2 linked regions of the Caenorhabditis elegans genome follow. Changing the gene in region 1 together with any one later gene gives a genetic interaction. Each region holds a gene or a part of one and is shown in the gene's direction. Other genes may lie near its edges.

What was found.
Region 2: of daf-2 (region 1) and rsks-1, changing one enhances a phenotype caused by changing the other (phenotypic enhancement), as found in Caenorhabditis elegans (one study listed by BioGRID).

The regions. Positions count from the first base shown.
Region 1 is NC_003281.10:3,032,189-3,046,634, reverse strand, and holds the start of daf-2 (Insulin-like receptor subunit beta), read left to right. Parts: upstream 1-5,788; 5' UTR 5,789-5,853; intron 5,854-9,091; exon of another isoform or gene 9,092-11,094; intron 11,095-14,446. Other genes in the region: cutl-25 (ZP domain-containing protein), read left to right, coding at 708-979, 1,629-1,722, 1,771-1,858, 2,231-2,447, 2,642-2,760, 3,701-3,909. UniProt on the Caenorhabditis elegans protein: Insulin receptor-like tyrosine kinase which regulates metabolism, controls longevity and prevents developmental arrest at the dauer stage.
Region 2 is NC_003281.10:11,238,227-11,255,935, forward strand, and holds rsks-1 (Ribosomal protein S6 kinase beta), read left to right. Parts: upstream 1-6,893; 5' UTR 6,894-7,084; coding exon 7,085-7,149; intron 7,150-8,128; coding exon 8,129-8,192; intron 8,193-8,624; coding exon 8,625-8,783; intron 8,784-9,791; coding exon 9,792-10,828; intron 10,829-11,869; coding exon 11,870-12,197; 3' UTR 12,198-12,213; intron 12,214-12,865; 3' UTR 12,866-14,055; downstream 14,056-17,709. Other genes in the region: Y47D3A.32 (uncharacterized protein), read left to right, coding at 14,247-14,296, 17,608-17,709.

The DNA.
Region 1 (14,446 bases):
GAATTTCTCTTTATTTTTATAAAAATTAGGTTACCCCGCAATACCAATTTAAAGGGCATTTGTTTGAAAATACGTGGGGGATTTATAGAGACATTTTTTTGTGGAATTGATGGAATTTTTATTAATTTTTTAAACATTTTAATCTTAAAAAATCCAGAAAATACGTTTTTTGTCGGGAATTCCAAAAATTAAAATTGTCAGAAATGTTAAAATTCCAACAGAAAAAAGTTTTAAAAATATCTGATTTTTTGCTGAAGTCAAAGTTTTGGCATTGAAAAGAATTGAAAATTAATAAATTAAAAATTTTTGCATTAACTCTTAAACTCAAAAAAAATTGAAACTTTTCAAAAAATGTTTTTTAGGTTAAAATTATTCACTTGTATTTTTATTTAAATTTTCATGTTGACCTCATTAAGAGCTTTCAAATGACTCCCATTATGCCTAGGTTGGTTCCGCCTATTTCGGGTCCCACCACGAAAACTACAGTACCCCGGGCGGTTTTCGTGACGGGACCCAAATTTTATAAAATTCTAGACATTCCAAACATTACACTTTTTCCAGATATCACAAAATTTTAACTTATTTAAAAAATTATTTTTAAAAATTCCAAAAATCCCAAAAAGGAAAAAAATTTCTGTAAAAGTTTACAAAATGCTGTTTATAACAGAAAGTACATTTTTCCGCTTTATTTCCAAAATTCATTTCAGATCTACGTAAAAGGGTCTCGCGGCACTCCGTCCTGCTCCAAATCCTACCAAATTACCCAGAATTCCACAGCTCTGGAGCTCAAAATAAATGCTCAAGAGCTGGAAAAATGTGGTTTCCGAGCGTGGCCAAAGCCGAATTCAAAAATGTGGCTTTTGTCGGGACAAGTGATTGTGGCCTTCCATCCAACACTGGTGACACCCTCAGATCGAGCTTTTCGTGCACATTGTGAATTTGAAGATTTTAAGCGAAAAACGGAAATTGGAATTGAGAAGTGAGAATTTTTGCATCAACTCTTAAAATACAAAACAATGTTTTTTTTTAAAGTTTTGTTAAGTTAAAATTGTTTTTTTGTATTCTCATTGTAATTTTCATGTTGAGCTCACCGAGAGCTTTCAAATGACCCCCATCATGCCTAGGTTTTGTCTATTTCGGGTCCCACCACGAAAACTACAGTACCCCCTTGTGTTTTCGTGGTGGGACCCAATTTCTCAAAGTCAGCGGAATATAGGCATGATGGGGGTCATTAGAAAGGTCTCAATGAGCTCATTTTGAATTTTGTGTTATTAAATACAAAATGTTTGAATTTTAAGAAACATTTAAATTTTAAGATTTTTTTTTTTGACATTTTTTGAAATTTAATTTTTGTTTTTGTAAAAATGATGAAGCACTAGAATTTGGTTCACCGAAAATTTTAAAATAACATCCATCATGTTTTTAGGAAATTTGGGTCCCACCACGAAAACTACAGTACCCCGGGGGATTTCGTGGTGGGACCCAAAATAGGCGGAACACAGACATGATGGGGGTCATTTTAAAGGTCTCGTTGTGCTGAAACTGTTAAAATTTCTCAAAATTTAGTTAGACTCTCGATTTTGAAAATATTTTTCAAAATTTCAGCAAAAAAATCTGAATTTTTTCAGCCTAATCCAAGAGCACGAGCTGATTCTCGGAAATTTTCAACTGCCAAAAATTTCAATGCACATTTTGCCAGCTGGAGAGGAATCTTTGACAACGGTGAGTAATTTCAGACAGATTTGAAACTTCAACTAGAAAAAATTTCAGAAAACTCAGAATTTTGAAGCCAATGAGCAGAAAGTGTTGAATGTTGGCGATCCTATAATGTTCGAGTGGAAATTGGAACAGGAACACGGTAATTTTAAAGAGTTTGAGAAAAAAAAGTTTTTTAGGCAAAAAAATAATTTACAAAATTCAAAAAAAAATTTTTAACATTTTTTGAATTTTTTTTTGTTGAAATTTTTCTAAATTTCACATTTCCTCGTCGACTTTCCAAATTTTTGTATTTCCTCATGTTAACCACATCGAGAGCTTCAAAATGCGTATAAACATGCCCAGGTTCCGCCAACATTGGGTCCCACCACGAACAACTACAGTATCCCGGGGAATTTCGTGGCGGGACCCAAACTGGGCGGAAACTAGCCAATATTGGGGTCATGTTGAAGCTCTCAACAACCTGAACAAGAAAAAATTATTTTTAAAAACCCGAAATCCCGAATTATTCCAGGAATATTCGGAATTCAACTCGAGAGGTGCTCTGCCGAGTCAGAAAACGGAAAAGGGATGAAAATTCTGGAAAATGGATGCTCTTTAGACGAGGAGCTTATTTCTGACACCACGTATTCACAGGATTTCTCGAAAATTTATGCGACTTCGCTGGCTTTCAAATTTCCAGAGGAATATGAGGTTTTTATCAGATGTGCAGTGAGGACTTGTGTGAAAAAGTGGGTTTTTTGGTGGGAATTTGAATTTTTCAGAGCGGAAATTGAGTTTTAGAATGAAATATGAAACTTTTGAAGTTTAAAGCTTTTTGAAAAAAAATTTTTTTTTCAAACTAAACAATTTTTTTTAAACTTTTTATTGAATATTATTATTTTTCTCCCAAATTCTGTTCCCCTTAATCCCCATTAATTTTCAGAACCGAGCACCTAGAAATCATAAATGGCGAGGAAGAGGACCTGTGCTCGGCGAGCAACAATTGCGGATTTGTCTCATTTGAATCGAGTCAGAGAAGTCGGCGACAACTTGTAGGGAAAAGTAAGAGATACTTTTTTTTCTCGAAAATTCAAAATTTTTGAATAATTTCAGAAAAAAAACCAGTTTTTTTCGAATTTTCTGAATGAAATTTTTCAAATTTTTCCGCAAAATTTTCTATTTTCAAAAAAAGTCAAGATTTTCCCAACTAAAATCCGGAAATTTTGACAAAATCGCGTAAATCGACACATTCTAGTAACTTGACAAAATCTCGTAAATCTACAAAATCTCGTAAATCTACAAATTCTCGTAAATCTACAAAATCTCGTAACTCGACACAATTTCGTAAATCGACACGTTCTAGTAAATTGACAAAATCTCGTAAATCGACAAGTGCTAGTAAATCGACAAACTCTCGTAAATCGACACAAAGTCGTAAATCGACAAACTCTCGTAAATCGACACAAAGTCGTAAATCGACATACTTTCGTAAATCGACACAATGTCGTAAATCAACCAAATCTCGTAAATCGACATAATTTCGTAAATCGACAAAATCTCGTAAATCGACACAAAGTCGTAAATCGACAAACTCTCGTAAATCGACATAATTTCGTAAATCGACATACTTTCGTAAATCGACAAAATCTCGTTAATCGACACATTCTAGTAACTTGACAAAATCTCGTAAATCTACAAAATCTCGGAACTCGACACAATTTCGTAAATCGACACGTTCTAGTAAATTGACAAAATCTCGTAAATCGAAAAGTCCTAGTAAATCGACAAACTCTCGTAAATCGACACAAAGTCGTAAATCGACAAACTCTCGTAAATCGACATAATTTCGTAAATCGACACAATGTCGTAAATCGACAAACTCTCGTAAATCGACATACTTTCGTAAATCGACACAATGTCGTAAATCGACCCAAACTCGTAAATCGACAAAATCTCGTAAATCGACAAAATCTCGTAAATCGACACAATATTAAACTTCCAGATAACAACAACACCCGTACCGACATCATCTACGTGAACGGTAGATTCCGTGTGGAAAAACAAAGTTCCCCGCAAGAAGCCCGTGCCACGTCACAAACAGAGTTCTGTATGCCTGACGTCATCTATTACCTGGGACTGTCTACAGTAGTCATTTGCTACCTGATTACCATCTCGACTACGGTAGTTTTCAAGTTTGGCGGTAGATTTTGACAATGTTCAACAAATTTTCAATTTTCAAATTTTCATTACTCCCTTGTATGGGTACTTCTACATGATTCTCAGTTTCCTTGAATATATTTTTTTCTAACTTTTAATAATTATCTGTAAATAAAGCTCTTGTTTTTATCATAATTTCCTGAAAATCGTATAGTTGAACTTTTAAAGTACACTTTGACTCACCGAGCAAATCCAGATGCCATTTTGTCATCTATTTTTCTGACTTTAAAATATCATCAAAATATGTTTGTCTAGTTTTTATACTATAGTTTATTTTGCGTTCTTTCTTTTGAATAACATATTGTTATAACTTTTTAGTGGAAATTTTAACAAAAAAAATTGCTGATTTACAGTTTAGGAGTGCTAAATTAGGTTTGCAAGACTTTGTGAATCTAATTTTAAATGTGTGTATATCTGTGTGGAGCAGAGTTATGAAAAACTGTTTTCACACAAAAATATAGCAAATTTTAAGCTCTACAAGTTGTTAGTTAACAACTTTTTATTATCTTTCCTCTTCGCTGAGGTACACGCGTCTAAGTGTGGTGAGTGCGAGAGCTTAGTGCGGCAGAGCCTTACTTACGACCGTTTATCTCATTGAGGAAAGGTGCTAGCAAATAATTCCAAACTAGTAATCTGTAGAAAATTTTAAGCTCTACAAGTTGTTAGTTGACAACTTTTTGGCAACTTTTTTCCCCGCAGAGATATGAGCGCCAAGCTGTGCAAAGTGCGAAAGGTCAGTGCGGCAGAGCCTTACTTACGACCGTTTATCTCATTGAGGAAAGATGCTAGCAAAAAATTTTTCACTAGTGAATTGTGGCAAATATGAAGCTCTACAAATTGCTAGTTAACAAATTTTTTGTAACTTTCTCCCTCGCAGAGAAATAAGCGCCAAGCTGTGCTGAGTTTGAAACCGCGCGAAGGGCAGAGCCTCATTTACGGCCGTTTATCTCATTGAGGAAGAGTGTTAGCAAAAAATTTTCCACTAGTGAATTGTAGGAAATTTTGAGCTCTACAAGTACTTCATTGACAACATTTTTGTAACTATTTCTCCCGCTGAGATACGTGCCTAGATATACGACCTGGAAATTGAAGCTGAATCTCGAATCTCTTCCCCTCTGGCAGAAAAAGTCGAATTTCCCTCCTTTTTCCTGCTATTTTGAGAAAAAAAAAATAATTACGCAAATGGCGCGAAACTTTTCTGACACTTTTCTGATCAAAAATTAGAGTTATGCAAAGAAACGAAGGAGCTATGTAGTGACGTCATTCTCGAATTTTAAATTTTTTACCAAACCTTCTAATTCTTGTTTTTCTCTCTATTTTTCCTAGTTTCTTTGTTTCTTGAATGTTCCCAAATAATATCGGCGGATTAATTGATAAGGATATCTATCAATGACATTGCCTCCTCTCTATAGAAATCTGTGTAGAAATAGTAAAAGTGCATTAAAAGATGATAAACGACCATCAGATTTCATCTTTTTCTATCTTTTTCATGGCGGAAATGTTGTTTACTTCTTTCGGCCTTGTTTTCCTGGTGTTTTTCCCTAATTTCGTGGGGTTCAAAAGAGTTCAAACCGGTCAAATGTCGCTTTTTTTGCAAAAAATATTGGTAGTAGCAAGTGCGCTCCATTGTCAATTTAGAGTTTTCACCATTTTTAGAGATGTTTTTTGTGCATTTTTGCAATGTTTTGAACTGAAAATTCAAGTTTTCAATTTATGAAATGTAGAAACTGTATTTTTCCATTGAAAAAAAGCTTTAAATCGACATTTTAACTGATTTTAAACATTTTCCCGGGGTACTGTACCTGCGAATGTGTGCAGCGGTGTTTGCGTACCCGCGCTTTCGTTTTTGATTTTTGAATTTCGTTTTTCACATTTTTCTTCGATTTTTCTCAATATTCCAGCTATTTTTCACGGATTTTTATCATTTTTTCGACAAAAGTAAGTAATTTTCTCTTTTTTTCCACTAAAATTCCCACAAAAATCGTAAAAATAGGGAGATTCAGGCGGGTTTTTTGATTTTTCACCGATTTTTTGCTATTTTCTTCATTTCTCAGCCGATTTTAGTCTTTTTTTTTGTCTAAATTATCAAATTTAACCTTAAAAATCTGCTAAACCATCTGATTCTTCGCTCACAGAACGATTTTCCCGTCATTTTCCAGTTTTTCCCAATTTCCGCCCGTAAAATTCCATTTATCCAATTCAAATTACGCCGAATTTGTTGCAATAGTCTTGGCACGGTGCCAATTGGATCTTTTCACGTCATTTTTGACCATTTTCAAGGTCTTTTCAATGCACTTTTAGGCTGCCTTTGTGAAAAAATAACGGATATTCGAAGTTTTTCGTGAAAAAAAGTGGAAAATCTAGGAAAAAATCGAGAAAAATAAGGTTTTTAAAAGATTTCAACAGACAAAACCACAAAATTTGCTCAAAAAAGCAATTAAAAATTGAAAAAATTACTTGAAAATATCGATTTTAAGCGATTTTGTTTTAAAAATACACACAATTTTTAGCGAAATCACACAAAAAATCGAGAAAATCCCAAAAATTTCGTTAAAAACCAACAAAATTAATGTGAAAATTGGTTTTTTCGCTTTAAAATTGATAAAAATTGATAAAAATTTATTTAAAAAATCACACTTCGGTCAATCTCTGGGCCATTTGCAGCAATTTAGCAATAAAAATAACGAATTTTCTGATGTTTTAGGCAGAATTTTGGAGATTTTTAGGGAAAATCTCAAAAAATAACCAAAAATCGCTTTAAAATTGATGAAAATTCCCATTTTCGCCAATTTCTGAACCATTTTTCCGCAATTTTGACCAGTAAATTGCAAAAAATATCGAAAAATTTTGGATTTTATAATCCAAAATTCTAAAATTTCAAGTAAAATTCAGCAAAATTTGGTGAAAAAAAATACAAAAAATTACAAAAAATTGGCTCAAAAATCAAATTTTTGCGAAAAAAATCGAATTTTAGCCCAATTTTCTTCGATTTCTTCCAAATTTTCACTCATTTTTCGCTTTTTTTCGCTCTTTCAATCAGAAATACCCCCTTAAAAATAAATATTTTCCAAAAAGTACACCGACAAACGATGAGCAAACAATCTGTGCCACGTGGGAATTGGTTTTTTTGTGTTTATTTTACAAAAAATGTCAATTTTTTGCTCAATTTTTCAATTAAAAATCGTAATAATTTGCTATTTTATAGTTTAAATTATTGATTTTTAGGTTTTTTTGGCGGGAAAAAAATAAATTTGAAAAAAAAAACGGCGGCGGATGGGGTACAACAACAACAACTCAAAGATCAAAAAACGAAACGCGAAAACATTTGAATTGACCCTTCGTTCTTTTTTCTATGTTTTTTTGCCATTAAAATTGAGTTTTTCGACGTTAAAATGCCGAAAATTCGATAAAAAACTGAAAAAATTGAGTTTTTTCCGGAATTTTAACCCCAAAAACCGAAAAAAAAATCCCGGAAAATCCCCCAGATTTCACTAAAATCTCCAGTTTTACCAACTTTTTTTTGTTAATTTAGGTACATTTTGTGGCCAAAATCAAAAAAAAAATGGTAAATAAACTACCAAAATGTGAAAAATTGGATATTAATTAAATATAAATTGAATTCTGGACAAAATTGAAATTTTCAATTGATTGAACCATTTTTCTATGTTTTTTTGCCATTAAAAATGAGTTTTTGGCGGTAAAATTCCGAAAATATAATTAAAAAATTAAAAAAATTATGTTTTCCCGGAAATTTAACCCCAAAAACCGAAAAAATTCTGGGAAAACTCCAGAAAAATGGGCAAAAATGTAGATTTTTTGGGCCATTTTTTGGCCATTTTTTCGCTTTAGATTTTAATTTTTTATCTGAAAAAAATTGGATTTTTATTCCCCAAATCTAATAATTTCCACAATTTTTTGACACCAAATCCTCTATAAAAATCGTTTTTTTTCATGAAATCTATTCAAAATCTGGCAAAAATTTTGATTTTTTCGACCAAAAACACCTCTAAAATGACCAAAAATCAACGATTTCATGAAAAATGACAAAGATTAGGTCATGTGATGCATTTTTTTTCGTTGTTTTATTACATGATATGGAATTGACAGTGTTCAGAATTTTTTTATTGGTCAAAATTTGGTTTTTCTTTGAAAAAATCGCAATTTATTCTGAATTTTTTGTCAGTTTTTGAACGCCGATTTTTGGCAAATTGCCGATTTTCTGGAAATTTTCAATTCCGGCAAATTGCCGATTTGCTGGAAATTTTCAATTCCGGCAATTTGCCGATTTGCCGGAAATTTTCAATTCCGGCAATTTTGCCGGATATCAATTCGCCGGATTTTTTGAGGGGATTTTTTAAATTACGCAAACCCACAATTTACCGAAACTTTCGGCAGTTGCCGTTTTTCCGGCAAATCGACTAGTTGCCGGTTTGCAGAATTTGCCAAAAATTTGGAAAACCGCAAATTGCCGACTTTGCTGTTTGCCGGAAATTTTCAGTTTCGGGAAATTGCCAGTTTGCCGGAAATTTCAATTCCGACAATTTGCCGATTTTCTGGAAATTTTCAATTCCGGCAATTTGCCGATTTTCTGGAAATTTTTAATTCCGGCAAATTGCCGATTTGCCAGAAATTTTCAATTCCGGCAAATTGCCGATTTGCTGGAAATTTTCAATTCCCGCAATTTGCCGATTTGCCGGAAATTTTCAATTTCTGCAATTTGCCGATTTTCTGGAAATTTTCAATTCCGGCAATTTTCCGATTTGCCGAAAATTTAAAATTTTTCAATTTGGGCAAATGCCAAATTTTCCGAAAATTTGAAAAATGGCAAATTGCCGATTTTGCCGGAAATTTCAATTCCAGCAAATTGCCGACTTTGCCAGAAATCTTTCTACCAACTCCGGCAAATACTGCCTAATCTGAAAATTTTTTAAAAAACTATCGAAAAGTGCCCAGTTTCAAAAATTCCTGAAAATTTGAAAATTCTAAGAAATTTGAGAGAAACATTTTTTTTTTCCAAAAATTCGAATTTCCCGCGCGCTCGCGAAACCTAACACCATTCTTTTTTTTTTCCTATTTTTGTTCAATCTATCAGATTCTCGTTGTTTACGTTGAGAAACATGTTCATCACATCACATCACACACACACACACACATTTCGTATTCCTCTCAGTTGGTTTTTTTCCCGCCTCGTCCTCCTCCTCTTCGTCTCAGCTGACCTCCATTTCGGTGTCCTTTGGTGCATCTCGGTGTCAGTTTCCAGTTGAAATACGCTGTGTCTCTACTCTCTCTCTCTCTCTCTCTCTCTCTCTCTCTCTCTCTCTCGGTTTTCTGCACGTGTGGTCTCTCTTGGTGTAGAGGCACCGGGCACCATCATTTTGCACTTTTTCTGTAGATTTTTTGGCTCAAAAATGGCACTGAAAATCATGAAGAATTGAGGAAAAGCTCAAAGTAAAATGAGAATTTTTAGCCTTTAAATGGGCGGAGCTTATGTAAGCGCCACCCACTTCTGGGCTCTCGTTATTTCTCGGCAATGTTCATGATCTCAACCAGGCGGCATATTCGGCAAACCCACATGTTTGAAATTTGCCGTGCTCGGCAAACTCGGTAAATTTGCCAATTTAAGAATAGCGGAGGCTGCAAAATGCATCATAGCTCATGTAGTGTCCTCATTTCGGTTTGATCTACGTAGATCTACAAAAAATGCAGGAGAAGAGGCGCAGAGTTCTCAACTGATTTCGCATGATTTCGCAAAAAGATAAATTCAATGCCCCTCTTTTTATTCGTAAATTGTCAAAATTCGAAATGCGATTTAAAATTTCCGGGAATTTTAGGGCATATTCTTATTAGAAATAACTATTACGGGAACAAAAAATTCCTAGAATGCGTATTACACAACATATTTGACGCGCAAGATATCTCGATGCGAAAACTACAGTAATTCTTTGGAAGATTACAGTAATGCTTGTGTCGATTTACCGGGCTCTCGATTTTGAAATAAATTAAAAAGAGCCCGTAAATTGACATAAGCACTACAGTAGTATTTTAAAGAGTTACTGTAGTTTTCGCGCTACGATATATTTTGCGCGTCAAATATATTGTGCAATACGCATTCTAAAAATTTATGGGGCTATTCAAGTAGTGCTGGATAATTTGAAATTGCTGAAAAATTAATGTATTAAAATACATAAAACATGTATTTTAATACATTTTGCAACTTTACCACGTGGTGCCAGAGTGTCTCATTTCGGCTTGATCTGCTATAGAAGTTGGACGCACTGTATTAAACTTGGTGAACTAAATTTGCACTTCCAGTTGGCTGTGTTCATTTTAAGACATTGAAGATCATTGTCTTTTTCTCCTTCGTCATCATCATCATTCGATTCAGAATACCCATCAACTTATTTCGTCGTCGTTGTTTTCGTATTCTCCATTCCCCCTGCGTGTGTCCCTGCGTCTCTCCACTACTATTCCCTGAATGTCTGCGTACTCTTTACCAGGTGTACTCTCTCGTCCCTCTTCCTCGTGTGTGTGCGCTCTTCGAAAATCGGCGAGTTTTTAGTGATGTGTGCTGCATTGCATAATAATCGTTTTTCTCATTTTTTGGGGCTTTCCAAAAAATTTAATTTACATTTTTAGTTTGTTTTGCGCCAAAATTAATGCAAAAAGAGTTTAATTCTCTGATTTAGGTTTTCCTGGTGATTTGATACGGAATATTGATTAATTTCGCGTGGGTTTGTTGAAATTTAGTTTTTAATTTGATTTTGAAGGCAAATCAAATTGCCGGTTTGCCAATTTGCCGGATATCATTTTGCCGGAAATTTTAGAGGGATTTTTGGGCAATTGCCGGTCGGCAAATTTTTCTGTCCGCAAATTCGGCAAATCTGCAAAATAGATTTGCCGGAAAATTTCAAAATGTTTATTTTCGGCGAATTGCCGGTTTGCCGAAAATTTCAGTTCCGGCAATTTTTCAATTTGCCGGAAATTTTCAATTCCGACAGTTTTCCGATTTGCCGGAAATTTTCAATTCCGGCAGTTTGCCGATTTGCCGGAAATTTTCAGTTCCGGCAAATTGGTGACAAATTTTCAATTCCGGCAATTTTCCGATTTGTCGGAAATTTACAGTTCAACCAAATTGCCGGATTGCCGATTTGTCGGAAATTTTAAATGCCGGTAATTTTCCGCTTTTCATAAAATTTCAATTCCGGCAATTTTCCGGTTTGCCGGTTTGCCGAAAATTTTAATTTTGGCAATTTTCCGATTTGTCGATTTGCCGGAAATTTTAATTTTTGCAAATTGCCGGTTTGCCGAAAATTTCAATTCCGTCAATTTTCCGATTTGCCGGAAATTTTCAGTTCCGGCAATTTGCCGATTTGCCGGAAATTTCAATCCTGGCATTTTGCCGATTTGTCGGAAATTTCAATTTTTGCAATTTTCCGATTTGTCGGTTTGCCGAAAATTTCAATTCCGGCAATTTGCCAGTTTGCCTGAATTTTCTATTCCTGTAACTTTCCGATTTGCCGTTTGCCGAAAATGTTTAAATCCGGCAAATTGCTGATTCGCCGGAAATTTTTAGTTCCGGCAACTTTCCGATTTGCCGTTTGTCGAAAATTTTCATTTCCGACAGCTTGCCGTTTTGCCGATTTGCCGGATATCAGATTTTTTCTCTTAAATTGTCATAGAAGTTGCTTACTTCCTCACAATAGAATTAGGACCTTCATATAGGATGCGTACAATTTCGCCGATCAAAATTGAACTTTTGCCGGTTTGCCGGTTTGCCGAAAAAAGTCATTTGCCGCCCACCACCCTATAATGTATTCCCACAAAACCACCCACACTTGGTTTTTTTTTCAAATTTTTATAACTATATTTATATATTCCCCACGCACAACCGTTCATACACACACATAAACGATGGTTGTTTTTGTCAATCATTTTTTGCTCTTTTTCTCTGCTCCTCTCTCTCTCTCTCTCCATCCGAAATTTCTTCTTTTCATCTCTAAATCTCTCGTAGTCTTTTAAAGTTTTTTCTCTCTATTATTTATTTCTTTTTTTTCTTTCTGTTTTCCACTCTATTGCCCCCCCCCCCCCGCCATGTGATTTTTTTAAAATATTATCACCAATTTTTGTTGGAACTACTGGCGTGACACTGTTGGGTTTTTATCAATTTTCCTGTAATCTTTTTGGAAATATTCGTTGGGAAAATGTATTTTTTTTTGCAATCGATTTAAATAGTTTGTAGGGATGGAAAATTGAATTTTCAAAAAAAAAATTAATGCAAAAGCGGAAAAATTATACAATTTTTAAATGAAAATTTCCTAATTTCGATTTTCCGATTTAAAAAATTAAAAATTCGCTGTAACTCGGAAAAAAGGCTGAAAGTCGATGATAATTTGTAAAATTTTCCGGCATTTTCCAAAAAAACTTTTTTTTTCAATTTTCAGCTATTTTCTCTCGGGGTATCGATTTTTTTCGGGGAAAATTCCTAAATTTTTTCAAATATTAAAAAAAAAAAAATTTCGCTCCAAAAAAGCATCCAAAATTGTCTAAAATTCCGAAAAACCACTAAAGAAATACGAAAAAATTATTCAAAAAGCCAAAAAAATTTCAATTTTGGCTAAATTCGAACTGCGACCAATCAGCGCTTCGCCCCGCCCACTTTTGAACCAATCAGATGGGGTGGGCGGAGTTCAGAGGCGCTGATTGGTCGGGGATTTTTCAGTTTTGAGCGAATTTAGCCGAAATTGAAAATTCGAGATTTTTCTTGAATTAATTCAAGAAAAAAAAATGGTCAAGAAAAAAATTTTTAAACTTCATTTTTTCAATTTCGGCTAAATTCGAACTGCACGACCAATCAGCGATTCGCCCCGCCCACTTTTGAACCAATCAAATTTAATTGTTTTTTTTTAAAACCAATCAATTTTAGAAAAAACCTCGTTATTTCAATTTTGTCTAAATTCCCTCCAAAATGAGAACTGCACGACCAATCAGCGCCTCTGAACTCCGCCCACTCCTTCTGATTGGTTCAAAAGTGGGCGGGGCGAATCGCTGATTGGTCGCAGTTCGAATTTAGCTGAAATTGAAAAATCGAGATTTTTCGAGGTTTTTTGAAGCGAAATTCCAATTTTTTGCAGTTTTTTAAGACCAACTGCTATGCAAATATTTCAAAATCTCACAATTTTGAGCAAATTTTCCCAGAAAAACTCAAAAATGTTCTCTCTGAAACTTTGTTATTGTTGTTGTCTCGTCTTCAAACATGACCATTTTTCTCTTTTTTTTCTCCCTTTATTTTTTTTTCTTTTTCATCCATTTAGCGTCCACATTTTACACATTTTTAAACACATTTACACAAACACATTTACACAAACACATTTTTTTTGGATTTTGCTCGTTTTTTTTTCTGCTTCATTTTTAATGATTTTTGACCTTTTTGTGGAGAAAAATATGTAGAAAAATGTCAAATTTGCCAAAAAATGAATTATAAATTTGAAAATTTTGATTTTAAATTAAAATTGCTTTGCTTATTTTCTACAAAACGTTTATTTTAAAAATTAAAATTAAGAAAAATATAATTTTTATTTTAAATATACCTTTTTCATGTTAAAAATCGATTTTTTCCAACAAAAAAAAATTAAGCAAAAAATATTTTTAAAATTTAAAATTTAAAATTTAAAATTTCGATTTTTTCCTACCAAACTACAAAATTATCCAAAAAAAAGTTTCCCACGAAAATTCCCATAAAATCGAGTGACCAGAGACCAAATCGATAAAACAAAAAAAAGTGTCGAAAACAGAAAGCAGCTGAATGACGGGGAAATGAAATGAGAAGTAAAGTTTGCGATAAACAAGTTTTCGAAATTTTGCAACAAAAAAAAAACCACCAAAAATAGTTATTTTTACTGATTTTTTTTTGTTGGAAAATGTCATAATTGTTTAAAATTCATTAGCCTTCATATAAATTAATTATCCTGAAGATGTGAACGTTTTTACGTTAAAAATATATATTAATCGAATGAAGCAATTTTCGAAAAATATAATATTTTTATATCCGTAATAAAAATTGAACCCAAAAACCGAATTTCATACTCTGAAAAACTCTGTTTAAAAAAAAAACTCCAAACTGTTTTTTATAGTAGTATTTTAGTTAAATATACTAAAACTGGTCCAAAACCACCGAATTTGATAATGAGACTACACAAAAAATTTCCAAAAATTTTTTATGGCAGGTCAACATTTCGAAAAAAAAGGAGCTAAATTTTGCTAAAATCTGAAGTTTTGCACACTTTTCTTAGTCACAGCCGTTGGATTTTAGTTTTTCCGAAATTATCACCGTTTGATCCTTCTGTTGGGGATTTATCTCGCCAAAATTCGTTGATTGAGGCAACTTTTAGGCCGATAGGCATCCAATAATGATCATTATTGGATGCCTATCGGCCTAAAAGTTGCCTCAATCAACGAATTTCCGCGAGATAAATTACCAAAATAAGGATTAAAGGGTGATAATTTTGATAATTTCAGAAAAACTAAAATCCAG
Region 2 (17,709 bases), 8.2 Mb from region 1:
ATTTCGCTCGATTATATTCTTTTAAAAAAAGTGTTTTTAACTATTTTTAAATAGAAATCTACCATTTTTCCCAAAATATAGCCTTTTTTGTCTCTATTTCTGAAAAAAATTAAGCAAAACGACATAAACTTATCGTTTTGCATCATCTTTTTTCAGGAATAAAGACAAAAATTGTTGTTTTCCGTTGCAAAATTCGGGGAAAAAAACCGAAAAAAAATCGATTAAACACAAAAAGACAGCAAAAACCGCGCCATGGGGTTGTGATTGGTTGAAAAGTGGGCGGAGCTAAGCCCTGATTGGTCGTGCTTCAAAATTGAAAAATCTCGATTTTTTTGGATTTTTTGTAGAAAAATCTTGATTTTTCAAGCTCCCGAGACCAAAGTTCCAAAATTTTCTCCCACTCTTTAGTTTTTGTATTATAGTCGCCTCTTTTTCCCCCATTAATTTTCTTTCTGTTCTATTTCCAATAGTGTTTTAAGAAACGAAAAACGTCGTAGCCAACTCTTATTTAATACGGTCTGCCCCCTTGGAACCCACTTTTACCACACTACCAATCAGCTGAGTGTATATACCAATTCTCAATGTTTCCCTGCCCCTTTTCTTCTTCTTCTACTTCCAACAGCTTTATTTTTCCTATTTTTCTCGTATTTTTCTTGGGCTTTCATGTAGGCGACCTCCGCCTGCCTCCCGCCAAAAATTCACGTCAAAACGCAGAGAATAGGCAAAAGTGAGGCGGACAGGTTTCAGGCAGACGTCTGAAACCGCGCCTGCCTACCATGGAAGCCCTAATTTTTGAAATCAGTTTCTTTTAAAAAATCCACTGTGAATAATTTGACATTCCAATTTGTTCACCATCTCCCTCGTTTCTTGTTTTTTTTTCCACTTTCTTTTTTGATTTTTTTTTATTTTTTTCGCCTCAAAAAAGATTCTGTCTCGTAGTTTTCTGTCCCTTTAATACATTTTTCATCGATTTTTCCCCTTTTGCTGGCTTGAGCTACAGTAGCCGTTTCGCACGGTACTTGTATATCTATGTTTGTGTGTGTTTTTTTTTAATTGAAAATTGTGCTCGCCCACGCTTGATGCTTTTAGTGCTTTTTAATCATTTTTTAGCTGAAAATCTTCGTCATTTGACTCTGTAACTGCGAATTTCGATTTTTTGCGACAAAAATAGGGATTTTTAGCTAAAAAATCCCACGTTTAGTCGTTTTTTTTAGGAAAAAATTCACCAAAACTAAATTTGCACTGAAAATAAACTTCAAAATGCGGATTTTTAGGCCAAAAAATAATAAAATCAATGATTTTCTGATCAAAAAAATCGATTTCAGAGCGGAAATTTGCCTGAAACTCGTAAAATGTATACCAAAATCGAAATTTAACTAAAAATCCACATAAAAATGCAGATTTTAATCTAAAAATCGTTCAAATTACCTTTTTGTCAGTAGAAAATCGAATTTTCATTGAAAAAACCGATTTCAGAGCGAAAAACCATAAAATTCCCTACAAAAAACGGGCTTTTGCAAGCTAAAAATTCGATTTTTAGCCGATTTTCTAGTGAAAATCACTCTATTTTCATGTTTTTCACTGAGATTTTGAGCATTTTCACTTTTAATTCGATTAGTTTCCACACATTTTGGCAACAAAAAAGAAAAAAGCCAGCGTTATTTGTTTATTTTCGAACATTTTTCGCCTCGTTTTTACTTTTTTTTTCGTTCTGTTTTCTGTTTTTCCTCGTGTCGCGAAGCAATTGTTTTTGTTTTTTTCGGTCTCTTTCAGTTGACTTTTCCTTCTCCTCTGCCACCAGCCAACAACAACAAATATGCCAAAGAGAACTGGATTTCGATGTGTTATTTTCATCGTTTTTTCGCTGAAATTCGCCGTTTTGAGCTCGAAAAATGAATTTTTGGAGAAAAAAAGCTTTAAAAAATTAGCAAAAAATTGAAAACCTTGAAAAATTGCCAAAAACAGAGGTTTTTGACTCAATTTTTCGAGTTAAAATGATTAAAACTTGCCAAAAAATCAGATTTTAACTTGAAATTAGGAAAAACTTATATTTTAAAGTCAAAACTTGACTTTAAAATATCAATTCTAAATAATTTTAAGCTAAAATCTAGTTGAAACGCAAGTTTTAAATGTTTAAATTCAAAAATTGATTCGAAAAACTCAATTTTTGACTATTTTCCAAGGTTGTCAAATTTTTTTGCTAATTTTTTAGCGAAAAAAAGTGGAAGATTACTTTTTTTGTCTACATTAACAAAAATATCTGCAAAAATTTGATTAAATACTAAAAAATTGCAATTCCCTAGTTTCTAACTGTTTAAATTCAAAAATTGCTTTTAAAAAAACTCAATTTTTGGCTATTTTTCAATGTTTTCACATTTTTTTGCTATTTTTTAGCAAGAAAAGTGGAAAATTACTTCTTTTTTTAATCTACATTAACAAAAATATTTTTGAAAATTAGATTAAACACTAAAAAATGTCCAGAAATTAGTAAAATTCGAGATAATTTGTAGTATTGTAGTTATTTTCAATGTTCACTGATAAAACGTCAAAACAATAATAAAAGCGACGAATTTTTGAATTTCAATATCAAAATTTCAAAAAAAAAAAACAAAAACACACTTTTTTTTTTGGAAAATTTTGGATTAAATCGATTTTTATCGATTTTGGATCATTGCAACCTGCCCTCCACTGATTAGATTCTAATTATCAGTGACACAAATGTCCTTCTCATGTACTATACTCCAGCAGTCTGCGTCTCTCTCCCTCCGATTGACTGGTTTTTTTCTTGAAGTGACACTAACTAACGAACCGAATTTACACTACTTTTCTTCTCCATCGAAACTATTTTACAACGTTTCTCACTTTTCGAAATAAGTAAGAGTAATAGGAATCTGTGAAAGTTGTGAAAGTTTTCAGATTAGATCGCTAGTTAGGCTTTTTAGTTATATAAGTAGTTACCAGTGGCGGATTTTTTTTGACTAATGACTAATTCGATGACTTTCTGTTTTAATTTAGTTTTCTGAATTCCGAAATATTCCCAAAATGCGATTTTTCAATTTCGGAAAAATCGATTTTAAAACACAAAATCACTGTCTATGGTCTCGGCTCGACCGGGTGTACGGTAGTTTTTGTTTTTGCGTTTTTCTAACGTGAAATCGGCAAAAACAATGTTTTTTCGTCAATGTTTCTCTTCAATTCGGCAATTTTCCTCGTTTTTTGCCGTTTTTGAAAGATACAATTCTTCTGTGCAATTTGCCAATTTTCCTCTGAAATTAGGCAATTTTCCCGTGCAGATCGGCAATTTTCCCTACTATTCGGCAATGTTCCTAGTTTTTACGCCGTTTTTGTAAGAACCAATTTTTATTTGAAATTCGGAAATTTTCCTGTGCAATTCTACAATTTTCCTGCAGTTCCGCAATTTTCCTATACAGTTCGGCAATTTTTCTAGTTTTTTACGCCGTTTTTAATAGGAAGAATTTTCTGTGCAAATCGGCAATTTTCCAGTACAATTTGCCAATTTTCCTAGTTTTTACTCTTCCTAATAATCCAAATTCCTTGTTGCTTCCCCATCTGCTCCGTCATCATTTCCTCCTCATCAGGCGTTGTCAAGGTGAAAGCCGTGTGAATTCACACGCGTAAACAAGCATTCGTGATTCATTTCCCATTTCAGGACTCTTACTAGTTGCTCTTTCTTCTTTTTCTATTCAGAGAATTTCTGTTGTACTAATACTGCAACTTTCACTTTCTCTCCCTTTGTAGTCTCGCCGAACTATCGCAGCTACTGTTGGCCGGGCGTTTAGTCAGAGTACAAGCGACAGAGAATAGATTATCAAGTTGGAGTGAATGCCAATAAAACTATTACCGATAAGAAGTCTCTCACAAATTTCGAATAGTGGAAATTTGCGATTTTTTGTGGTAGACAACTTGGAAGTTAATAATTTTCCTCTGGAAAATTCATCGAAAATCGGCGAAAACTAAGGTTTTCATTGGCTTGCCCAACCGATTGCTTAGTATTTCCAAAAAAACCGGCAAATTGGAGGAAATGCAAGAAAAGAAGCATTTTACGGCAAAATTGCTTATTCTTAATTGGTTTTTCATCGGCTTCTGTCGAGTTTGCCAAGTTTTTGCCAAAAACTTTCAATTTCTGAAATTGCTTATTGATCGCTCGATAACAATTGATACAGCGACAAGTGACCTATAAAAAGTTTGGTCTTTTTACACTTTGCAAAGTTCTCTTTTTTTCGACAAGCCCGGTTTGCAGCCACTGATTAGCCGGAGCGGCTGTTCGGCGAGCAGGTGAAGGCTCACTAGATGACTCCGGAAGAGAATTTGTTCATTGCAAATTTCGCTCGTTTTTGTCTTTATTCTAAATTTCGCGTTTTTACGGGCTTTTGAAGCTGTAAAATGACTCAAAACCGCCGAGAAACCGATTTTAACACCGACAAAATCACTGTCCCTGGTCTTGACACGACCGGGTGTACGGTAGTATTTTGTTTTCGTGTTTTTTGAAATCGGCAAGCAAAGCTCGAATTTTCCCGTGCAATTCACCAATTTTCCCGTGCAATTCGGTAATTTTCCACTGCATTTCGGCAATTTTCCAGTGTAATTCGGCAATTTTCCAGTGCAATTCGGCAATTTTCCCGTGCAATTTGGCAATTTTCCAGTGCAATTCGGCAATTTTCCCGTGCAATTTGGCAATTTTCCAGTGCAATTCGGCAATTTTCCCGTGCAATTTGGCAATTTTCCAGTGCAATTCGGAAATTTTCCATTGCAATTCGGCAATTTTCCAGTGCAATTCGGCAATTTTCCAGTGTAATTCGGCAATTTTCCCGTGCAATTCGGCAATTTCCAGTGCAATTCGGCAATTTTCCCGTGCAATTTGGCAATTTTCCAGTGCAATTCGGCAATTTTCCCGTGCAATTTGGCAATTTTCCAGTGCAATTCGGAAATTTTCCATTGCAATTCGGCAATTTTCCAGTGCAATTCGGCAATTTTCCAGTGTAATTCGGCAATTTTCCCGTGCAATTCGGCAATTTTCCCGTGCAATTCGGCAATTTCCAGTGCAAATCGGATGATTTTTCTCGTTTTCTCGCAATTTTTAAAAGAAAACCCAAAGTTTTTCAAAAATTTCAATCGAAATTTGATAATTCGAACCATGCGAAAAAGCGTGAATTTGTAATTCTCTCTGAATTGTTGCAAACCGCGGGTGGGGGGAGTGAAAAACGAGAGAAAGACGCTCCCCAATACAATATAGACACCATCAAATTTAAAGAGACGGATGCGCTTGCTCTGTGTCTCTTCTCTCTCTCTCTCACTTTTTTGGTTGAAGGGACGTTTCTATGTCTCTTTCTCTCTCTCTCATCTCTCTGGTTAGGTTGATCGTTCTCTGGTGCACTCTGTCGATTGACGTACTATTTCTTGTGTATGTGTCACCTCCCCAGTGTCCGTCCGCAGGTTTCTCTTCGCTTACACCAGACCACCTTTCCACGCTTTGTGTCAAATCAGCACTATCGATTGATTTGAACTTTTTTTTTTGGAATTTTTTTTCTGGTGGGGGGATTTTCGACCAATTTAAGTTAAAAATTTAAAACAAACTTTTTTTCAAAAAATAAACTTTTCGGTTTAAAATTATAAGAGTATTTTAAATAGTTGACTTTTAAAATTCTTTTGCGAAATTTGAAAATATCGAAAAAAAAAAATTCTTTTTCTCCTGTCATATCTTTAATTTGACGACTTTTTCTCGAAAAAATACCAATAAATTCGGTAAATTTCCGTTTTTAGTGAACAAAAAATACATTTTCTCTGAAAAATACAGGAAAATTCCGTTTTTGGTGTAAAAACCGAATTTTTAATAACAATTTTGTTTAAATTTAACGGATTTTTGAGTTTTTTTTTTAATGACATGAAATAATTTTTCTAAAATTTGTTAAAAGTGAAATTATCAAGAAAATGCTCTGAAAAACTCCGATTTCTCGGATTTGTTAATCGAAAAACGGAAAATCCGAAATTTTTGGTATTTTTCAGAAAAAAAGCGATAAAAATCTTATTTTTTTCCGCTAAAACTGGAAATTTTCGGGATTTTTCAAAAAAAAAATCGATTTTTTTTTGTTTTGAAAATTGAAATGATTGCTTCTAAAAATAAATGTTCTAGTTTTAATTTAACTTTAAATTATTTATTATTGATATTTTTTTATTAAAAGTGACGAAATATTACCGCAAATTCCCCATGTGATCATTATTTTCTGAACAAATGATGACATAAAAAACACCTGATCTCCCGGGAGAGGGGTCGAAAAACACTTTTTTTTGTTGTTTGAGAAAATACCAGAACACTTTGGAATTTCGCAACGACGAAATCAAATCTTTTAGGCTTCTTATAGTTTCTTATCGCCAAAAAATTGATTGAAAAGTGATAATGGAGACAGTTTTTTCTCGTTTTTGCCACGATTTGTGTGCTTTGAAACTGAAAAAAGTCAATTTTTCAGTGAAAAACGGAAAAAATTACGAATTTTCTTGTTTTTTTGTTTCGGAAAAAATTCATTATTTTATAAATTTTATATTTAAAAATTGACTTTTAATATATACAATAATTTCCATTTTAGACTCTTTTTTTTCTTTTAATTGTCATTTAAAAAAAACCTGAAATTTCAAAAAAAAAATCGATTTAAAAGGAGGATTTTTCTTTTAATTGCAAATTAAATATAATTTTCCACATTTCAAAATGCACGAAAAAAAAATCAAAAATTTAAAAATTCCCAGAAATCGACAGAAAAATGTGTTTTTTTTGTGCGTTTATTTCTATTATTAATTATCGTATCTCTGTATCTCTCTATCTTTTTCACAAAAATCAATCGATATTCCCATTATCTTAATAATTTTTTACCTTCTTGCAGGTTATACGAACCAATTTATATATTGTACACATTTGGATGGGCTGATCTCTTTGGAAACACACACCACTCCGTGCTGCTCCAAATTATCACTGCTTTTTTCCTTATTAATTACAAAAAATACAAATATCTATAATAGTACCTAATTAATTTTTTTTGTGATAAAAAATCCACAAAAACACGAAAAAAAAACGATGGCTGACGTGTTCGAGTTCGAGCTGGAAGGCCACGAGTCACAGGCATCGCCACAGCGTCATGCGTGAGTTTTTTTTTTTGGGTAAAAACATACAAATTGTGGGGAAAATCGGTTTTTTGCTTTAAATTTTCTGCGAAAATTGATGAAAAATTGCAGATTTTTCGTATTATAAAGTCAAAATCTGTACAGTTATAATAAAATTGATAAAAATTGAAGTTTCTGTAAAAACTTGTTAAAAACTTTAAAGGTGTTTTCACGAAAAATTTAAAATTTGCACTGGTTTTCAGGTTTTTGTTATCGAAAAAATGCTAAAATTTCGAATATTCCACAAAATTTTTCGGTTTTTTGAAAAAATTCAGATTTTTCCGACAAATTCGAAATCTGCAGTTTTTTGGAGAAAATAATTGCATTTTCAAATTTTCTACAATTATTGTAGAAAACTGGTGAAAATTTCGATTTTTTCCAACTAAAATTGTGATTTTCTGGAATTTTAGATTGAAAAATGACATTTTCGACTGTCAAAAACTGTTTTCTGAGCTGAAATATGCTAACTTTAACAAAAAAAATTTTTTCATAATTTTCGGAATTTCCGAACATTCCACAATTTTTCAAAAAAATTTACAGTAAAATTTTTTATCTTAAAAATCATTTTCTAATTTAAAAAATTCATTTTTTTTCAATTTTCCGATTGCACCAATGATCAGTGCTTTGTGTCATTAATCAGGTGATAACAGAGAGGAAACTACAGAAAATTGACATTTTTTAGACTAGAAAGTGGATTTTTTTGGTGAATTTTTCAAAAATTTGCGGAAAAATAAGCGAAATACAGAAAATTCGGGTTTTTCAAATTTTATCAATTTTATTCGAAAACTGTGCGGATTTTGACTTGAATAATTTTAAAAATTGGAAAATTCGCAATTTTCCATCAATTTTTTTTTGGAAAAAAAAATCTAAAAGAAAGCGTTTTTTTCTTCAAAACTGTGTGTTAAAAGCGAAAAATGGCTGAAAACTTAGAAAAAAATGTTTTTAATTTTTATTTCAGATATCACTATGACAACTGCACGGAAATCATGGAGGACGATCACATGTACAGCAATGTTGCTGATGTATGGTTTTTTGACAAGTTTGAGAGCTAAAAAAATCTATTTCCCATGCGAATATTAAGAAAATTCACGATTTTTGCCGTTTTTGACGGTCAAAAACGCTGAAATTCGCCCCGAAAATGCAAAATTTTTGCCACTTTCCCAGCTTATTACCTCAAAACTAAAAAATTGTGAAATTTCACCATTTCTCACTATTTTGCCGGCTTCTGACAATTTCAACGTTGCTGAAACGCTGAAATTTGCCGAAAAATAGTTTAAAATTATATTTCTGTGGTTTCTGTGCCTTTATCCTTATTGTCGACTGGAATTCTGGTATTCTCGGCTGAAAATGCAATAAATACCGTATTCCGGCCAACAATTTGCCAATAGAGCACATTTACCACTGGAGATGCGGAAGCTATGCTCAAATTTTAATTTTTTTTCTCATTTTTCCAGGGACAAATTTCTGCTCCACCGCCGAGCTCATCGTATATGGAGGATCCGATGATGGAATCGATTCAACTGTGTGCCAGTGCAATTAATCCACCAAATGTTCGTGTTGGACCCGAAGATTTTCAGCTTTTGAAAGTTCTTGGCAAGGGAGGATATGGAAAGGTTCGAAAATTGTCGTTTTTCTCAAGAAAAAAATTAAAAATTGTAATAAAGTTACTAAAAAACTGAAAAAATCCATTTTTAGCACTAAAAATGCTGAATAAATAAAAAATTTTAAAAAAATTAGCAAAAACTCAGATTTGGACTTTTTTGCGAAACTTCTACAGAGAAAACCATGAGAAACGTTGAATTTTCGATAAAAACCTGTAGAAAAACTCCAAAAATCAGCTTAAATGCGAAAAAATTACAATTTTGCTGCAAAACCCTGTAAAATAATTTCCACAGAAAGTACATTAAAAAAAATAAAAATCTTACTAGAAATTACTAAAAATTACAATTTTGATATTAAAACCTCTGACTTCCTTTTTTGATTAAAAATTCTACAAATTTCTTTTTTCTTTTCTCTGGAAAACCTGGAAAAATGTCAATTTCAATTTTTCACTCAAAAAAAGCCCAAAATCGCAACAGAAAAAAAATCAATTTCGCCTAAAAAATTTAAATTCTGTAAACTTCAATTTTTCCCAAAAAAAATGTGCGACAGAATATTAAATATGGTCAAAATCGCCCGAAAAATGTGAAAATTCTGAATTTCCAAAAAAAAAATCCACCTAAACCCTGAAAAAACCTTTTAAATTATGCGAAAAACGAAAATTACCATTAAAAAGCGGGGGAAAAAACATCAATTTTCAAAAAAAAACTCCGAAAAAATGAATTCAAAAAATTGAAAAAAAAAACTTTTTTCGTAATTACAATTTTATAAATTTCATTAAAAAATTTCCAAAATCGTAAAAAATCCAATTCCTACAAAAAAAGTGAAAGTTTTCAATTTTTTGCAAAAATTAACAGAAAAATCGCCTTAAAAAACAAAATGTTGTAAATTTCAAATTTTTGAGCAAAAACGAAAATAAAATCGAAAAAATTGAATTTTAATACAAAACCCACCTGAAAACCTTCTGAAAAAAAACACTTATTTTCTTAGTACAATTCTATAAATTTTTCAACAAATTCCAGGTATTCCAAGTGCGAAAAACGACGGGCTCCGACAATGGCCAAATCTTCGCGATGAAAGTGCTCCAAAAAGCGACAATTGTCAGAAATCAAAAGGATACAGCTCACACGAAAGCCGAACGAAACATTCTTGAAGCAGTCAAGTCTCCGTTTATTTGTGATTTATTGTACGCATTTCAAACCGGTGGAAAACTGTATTTAATCCTTGAATATCTATCTGGCGGCGAATTATTCATGCATTTGGAGCGAGAAGGAATGTTCATGGAGAACGTCGCAAAGTTCTATCTCTCGGAAATCGTCGTCTCTCTGGAGCATCTTCATCAGCAAGGAATCATCTATCGAGATTTGAAGCCAGAGAATATCCTTTTAGACGCCTATGGACACGTTAAGCTCACAGATTTTGGTCTTTGTAAGGAGGAAATCGAGGGAGATCAGAAGACTCACACATTCTGTGGAACTATCGAATACATGGCACCGGAGATTCTGATGCGTTGTGGACATGGAAAAGCTGTTGATTGGTGGAGCCTCGGAGCTCTGATGTTTGACATGCTCACTGGTGGACCACCGTTTACCGCTGAAAATCGCCGAAAAACGATTGACAAAATCCTGAAGGGACGGCTTACTCTGCCGGCCTATTTGTCGAATGAGGCTCGAGATTTGATCAAGAAGCTTTTGAAACGCCATGTGGATACCCGGCTCGGCGCGGGTCTCAGTGACGCGGAAGAGATCAAAAGTCATGCGTTTTTCAAGACTACGGACTGGAACCTGGTCTACGCACGGCAGCTTGAAGCCCCATTCAAGCCGAATATAGAGAACGACGAGGATACGTCGCTGTTTGACGCGCGTTTCACAAAAATGACGCCGGTCGATTCGCCGTGTGAGACGAATTTCAGTTTGAATGGTGATAATCCGTTTGTGGGATTCACCTATGTCGCACCGTCTGTGTTGGAAATGATGAATAAGGGAGGACATGGTGGAATTTCGGTGGCACATTTGGCTTCGTCTATGTCGAGAGCTGGTGCTGCGAAGAGCCCGAGAAAGTGCGTGGAATTTGTGGGAAATTTTTGCGAAAAAATTCGAATTTTTAGAAAAAATCGCCGAAAAAAAAAAACTGAAAAACTTAGAAAATTTGCTTTAAAAACTGTTAAATTGGTATTTTTTAGAAAAAATTGCCAAAAAAAAATTTCAAAAAAATTATGAAAAAAAGAACAGAAAAATAGGCATTTTTCGAAGAAAATGCCGAAAAAGGAAAATTGGAATTTTTTATTCAAGAAATCGCCATAAAAATTGGAATTTTTATCCGAGAAATGCTAAGAAAATCTGAAAAAATCGGATTTTTTCTAAAGAAATCGCAAAAAAAAAGGTTTTTTTTTTCCAAATAAATGAATTACCAACGAAAAAATCTAAAAATTGAATTTTTTCGAAGAAATTCTCATAAAATCAGAAAAATTGGATTAAAAAAAAAAAAGAATAATTTACCAAAAAAATCTGAAAACTTCGAATTCTTAGAGAAAATTTTCTTTAAAATTTAATTTCCGCATTTTTTTGGGAAATTTCTTAAAGCTCCAAAAAAGCAAATTTAAGGAAATGTATCAGTATCAGACTTTCAGAAATTTCCCTAAAATTATGGAAAATTCCAACAAAAAAAAAGGAAAAATGGAATCTTTTGAGGAAATTGTGAAAAAATTGGAATTTTTTGAAGAAAATTCCGAAAAATTGGAATTTATAGGAAATTGTCGAAAAAAAAGAAAAGAAAAATTGACTTTTTTCAAAAAACTGCTTCAAAAAATCTGAAAATATATTTAAGAAATTAACAATCTCCAAAAAAAAAAAGTACAATAAAAAATAATTCCAAGCCCGGTAGAGAAAGTCCAATTAAAGAAAAATTACTATAAATTTACCGAAAATTTTCTTTAAAATTTGAAAAAAAGATCAGTTTTTAGCAATAATTTTTTGAATTGCCAATTTACTAAAAAAAATCCCGAAAAAAATTTAAAAAAGCCTTTTTTATGCAATTTTTCTTAAATTTAAAATTTCTCCAAGTATATGAAAAATCCCAAAAATTTGGAATTTTTTTTCAGGCCAGGAGACCCAGAAACGGCGAGCATTCTTCACGGTGGTCACTCGAATTTGTTCGGTCACGGACCAAATAGTGAAGCCCCACAGGCTTTTGGATACGGAATTGGTAGTCAAATGACTACTACTACTGCTGGAGGAGCAGGAATTCAACAGCCATATCAATCATTTAGTGGTGGATATCCAGAAGATGATGCAATGGATACATCTACACCACGTGCTAGTGAAAGTCGTGAAACTACTACTGGAAATGGATCTACTACGACGACAAGACCATCAAATGTTGGAAGTTCTGCGTCAACACCTATTCCATTGCCGAAAAGGGTGATGTAAATGTGTGGGCGGAAAGGTGCGGAAAATTCAAATTTCCCCGAAAAACTTACAAAAATTGGAGTTTTCGTAAAAATTCCACGAAACAATTGTGAAAATCAATTTTTTCACCAAAATTCACCTTTTTTCCATGGAAAAAGCTGCGAAAATTCATAATTTGTACAGAAACTGATTCAATTCTCAACTTTGCATAAATTTTGATCTAAAAATTGAAATTTTCGCGCGGAAAAATTACAAATATAGCGTGGAAATTGTTTTTTTTTTCCTACCCATGAAAACACAGTTTTTTGTGGAAATTCCATTATTTTTGTGTAGAAAAATATTGAGAAATGACTTTTTGGAATGAAAATTGCTTTAAAAAAATTGATACAAAAGGTGTAAATTTTTTTTAAGAAAAAACATGCAAAAAAGGGTGAAATCAGTGAGAATTGCCGATTTTAAGCCGAAAAAATTCAATTTTTGAGAAAAATGTGTAATAAATTGTAAAAATTAATTTTTCAAAAAAATTGTAAAAATTCGATTTAAAAAAACCGAAAAAAGCGGAGAATTTCCACTTTTTTTTGGAAATTATTTTTTAATGGAAATTGAAAAAAGTAAAGTTATTTACTAGAAATTTATTTTCACATTAAATTTCACAACACGAAAAATGTAATACAAGTTTTTTTTTTCAGAAAATTGCCACACACACACACCTCTACACAAAATGCTCAATATTCATTCATGCTTCTTCTCCTTAACGTGTCGTTGTTCTTCCACTTTTTCTGAAAATTTTCACACAAATTTTCGAATTTCTTGTATCCATTTTTCGTTCGTTCGTTATTTTTTTTATTAACTTTACACTCTTAATGCCGATTTTTTTAAAAGGCGCTTCATCATCCCACCAGAGATTACGATCTGTGTGGACCTCCCGCGGGGACCAATTTCATGTGAAAATTTCGAAAAAAATTGATAATTTTGGCACTTTTTACCCCTAAAATTGAGTCTCGGCAGGGGGGTCGAATAAATACGGAGGTACTTTAATCTCTGGCTTGTTTTCATGTTTGGGATTCTTTTTTCTCTTTTATGCGCTCACTTTTTTTTCGTTCTTTACTCGTTTTTTTTTGTCTTTTTCGTGTAATTTTCCCTGTTAGCTCCCCTTTTTTTCGATAGAGCGCATTTGCATTTTGGAATTTTCAAAAAAATTTGAAATTTGCTTTTTTGCCGGGAAAAATTGACTCAAAACTCGAAATTTTGAAAAAATCTTAATTTCAGCTTTTTAAAAACAATTTTTCTGAAAAAATATCTCCAGAAATTTTTTCAAATTAATCTGAAATTTTGGGGTAAAAATTACAAGTTTTTCTTTAAATTTTTTTAGGATTTTCCGTGAAATTCACAATTTTTTCTTGAAAAACCGCACTCTTGGATTTTTTTGTCTTAAATTCAAAAATTTCGATTATAAAATTGCAAAAAAAAACCATTAAAGCAAACGCGCTCCACCGAGAAATCTTCAAGGGATACACACACACTTTATGCCGGGATTACGGTAGTCATTTTTGCTCATTTTTTTTGCTCTCCTTCCCCCAACTCGAACCACTATATTTGCTTCCTACCAACCCAACCCCTTTCGAGTATTATCTCGTGATATTCAATGTTTTCTTTATTACTATTATTATTAAATTTTCTTGTTGTTGTTGTTGTGAACAACCACCTCCCTTCCACCTCCCAAAATCAAAAGTGCCTTTTATAGCTCTGAAAACATTTGCCTTATTTTGTTCGAATTTCTTTTCTGAAAATTAAAAAACCACCGCAAAAAATCCCATTTTCCACAAAAAAAACCTTTTTTTTGTTAATTTTGGGCCAAATAAAGATGAATAGGTTTGACAATTATCGAGGAGATTCTACCTGAAGAGTGAGTTTTTTTTTAACACAGAGTGTAACAAATCGATCAAATAAAAAAGAAAGATAGCCCCCTTTTGATAAGGAGGACGTCTTCTTTCCAATGATAATCGGAAACAATCATTCCTTTTTTGAAACAGAAAATCAAAAAATTATTGATTTTTTTTCTATAAAAATATGGCAACTTTTATGGAAGGAGAAATTATCGAGGAGATTCTACATGAAGAGTGAGTTTTTTTTGAATTTCGGTTAAAATTGGAAAAAATTTTTCACCGAATTTATCGATTTTTATTCATGAAAATGGAATTTCGCAGGTGGCCGAGTTTTCTTTTTCGGCGGCTACGCTACAAAAGGCCGAGAAAAATTGATGAACGCGAAAAAACGATGGCCGAGAAAAATTGATGGCCTAGAAAAATTGATGGCCTAGAAAATTGATGGCCTAGAAAAACATTGATGGCCTAAAAAAATTGATGACCTAGAAAAATTTATGGCTGAGAAAAATTTATGGTCGAGAAAAATTTATAGCCGAGAAAATTGATGGCCTAGAAAAAAACATTGATGGCCTAGAAAAATTGATGGCCTAGAAAAATTGATGACCTAAAAACATTGATGACCTAAAAACATTGATGGCCTAGAAAAAACATTGATGACCTAGAAAAAACATTGTTGACCCAGAAAAATTGATGGCCTAGAAAATTGATGGCCTAGAAAAACATTGATGGCCTAAAAAAATTGATGACCTAGAAAAATTTATGGCTGAGAAAAATTTATGGCCGAGAAAAATTTATAGCCGAGAAAATTGATGGCCTAGAAAAAAACATTGATGGCCTAGAAAAATTGATGGCCTAGAAAAATTGATGGCCTAAAAACATTGATGACCTAAAAACATTGATGGCCTAGAAAAAACATTGATGACCTAGAAAAAACATTGATGACCCAGAAAAATTGATGGCCTAGAAAAATTGATGACCTAAAAACATTGATGACCTAAAAACATTGATGGCCTAGAAAAAACATTGATGACCTAGAAAAAACATTGATGACCCAGAAAAATTGATGGCCTAGAAAAATTGATGACCTAAAAACATTGATGACCTAAAAACATTGATGGCCTAGAAAAAACATTGATGACCTAGAAAAAACATTGATGACCCAGAAAAATTGATGGCCCAGAAAAATTGATGGCCTAGAAAAATTGATGGCCTAGAAAAATTTATGGCTGAGAAAAATTTATGGCCGAGAAAAATTTATAGCCGAGAAAATTGATGGCCTAGAAAAAAACATTGATGGCCTAGAAAAATTGATGGCCTAGAAAAATTGATGACCTAAAAACATTGATGACCTAAAAACATTGATGGCCTAGAAAAAACATTGATGACCTAAAAACATTGATGGCCTAGAAAAAACATTGATGACCTAGAAAAAACATTGATGACCCAGAAAAATTGATGGCCCAGAAAAATTGATGGCCTAGAAAAATTGATGGCCTAGAAAAATTGATGGCCTAGAAAAATTGATGGCCTAGAAAAATTTATGGCCGAGAAAAATTGATGACCGAGAAAAAATTTGTGGCCTAGAAAAATTGATGGCTGAGAAAAATTTTTGGCTTAGAAAAATTGATGGCCTAGAAAAATTGATGACCGAGAAAAATTGATGGCCTAGAAAAACTTATGGCCTAGAAAAATTTATAACCTAGAAAAATTTATGGCCGAGAAATGATTGATGGCCTAGAAAAATTGCCTAGAAAAAAGAAAAATCGGCCTCCATGACCTAGAAAAATTGATGGCGATCAAAAATTGTGGGCCGAGTTTTTTATTTCTCGCGGCCAAGTTACACGAAGGCCCCGCCCCTTTCTTGGTCAGTTTTCGAAAATATTATAATTTCTGCCTAGAATGAGGCGGGGCTTATCCGGACACGCCCATTTTTCCAAAAATTTTGAAAGTTCAAAGACTTTAAACACCATAAGGTAAATAGACTAAAATTATTTTTTAGAAGTTTTTTAGAAGCTCCGCCCATTTCTTGGTTACCTTCTCAAAATTGATACGAACATTTTTGCAATTAATTTAAATAGTTGTGTACTCCACGTGGGAAACAACTTTTTTGGAAATATTTTTTTTGGTTTTTTTTGTACTCCACGTGGAGAATAACAAATACAATTTATGTCTCGAGTCATATTTTTCTGCGCAAAAACAGCAGGAACTCGTGATTCAATTTATATTTCATTTTCTTCGATGGAGGTGTGGTCAGTCACTTTGCCCGAGAAAATATTTTTGTTTTTTCAAAAAAAAAAAATACTCTCATGCTCATCTTTTTCAATTTTCAATTGAGTTCATTTCCATTTCTCGAGGCTATCGAGGCTTAAAAATCTGTTTTTCAGTGAAAAACTTGAAGATCTTTGTTTTTTCGAAAATTTCTTGAGTTCCTGAATGTCTAATGCGATGAGAATGCAAAAAAACTATAAATAAAAATTTTTGGCACCCCGCGGGTTCGAACCCCGGTGTTGAGATTGGTAGATGTTAAAAATCGCACTGAGCCATTTTGGCGAAATTTGACGGTTTTTATATTTTTATTGAAATTCGTTATGTGTAAAGCATTACAAATGCAAGAAAAAATAAATAAAAAATTTTCGGCACACCGCGGACTCGAACCCTGGTGATCAGATTGGCAGATGTTGAAAATCGCACTGAGCCATTCGGTCAAAAATTGATTTTTGGTGCTTTTTCCGGGGAATTTCAGGCATTTTTTCTTTCTTTTTTATTTTAAGGGTTAGAAAAACATAGATTTCGCCTATAATCTACCGGAAAACTCAAATTTCCACCAACTTTAAACTATTTTTGACCTATGTACGTATGTTTCAACTTGCAAACATTTTTCTCAATATTATCACAAGTTTTTTCTATTATATTGATACAAAAATTTCCGGTTCAAGAATCACAAGGTTTCTTTTTTATTTCTAGAGAAAGTTAGAGAGATTCTAGACGAAAAAGGGATACCGAAACTTCTAATAGAAACGGTTTTTATTATTTGATAGTTCAAACTTCAAAGTTGGTCGAATAAGTCTTTTTGTATCATGCTGTTAATGTGTAGTCCTCGTGGAAAATTGTTTAATAAAAAAAAATTCTCAAATTTTCGAGAAAAAATTGGAAAATTGAAGCTTTGAAACTTGCCCACGCGGACTGCAAATTTGAAAAAATAAAAATGCTAACTTTTGCTCAAATTTTCATACAAAAACTTCAAAAATCATGTGTTACATATCTATTGAAAACTTTGAAAAACGTTAAACGAGAAAATTCCAAAAAAAAATCCTCTTGTCCACGCAGACTACACCATGGCTTAACCTAAAATTGTCAATTTCTGCCAGTTTTTGAAGTTATTTTTGCATTTTTTTGGCGAAATTATTGTAGTTTCCATTGTGTAATCGAATTTCTGACCAATGACGTAAATTCAAAAACAGAAAAAATATAGTTTTTCCCGGCCAATAATTTCAAATTCATATTTTCTCACATTCTAAATATATAAATATATTCCATTTTTCAAGCAGTATTGTCATCATGAACGAGACGATTATTGTTGACATGTGGAATGTGAACGCAACGACTGGACCAACTATTATTTCAGCGAAAAAGGAGCAATTGTATGA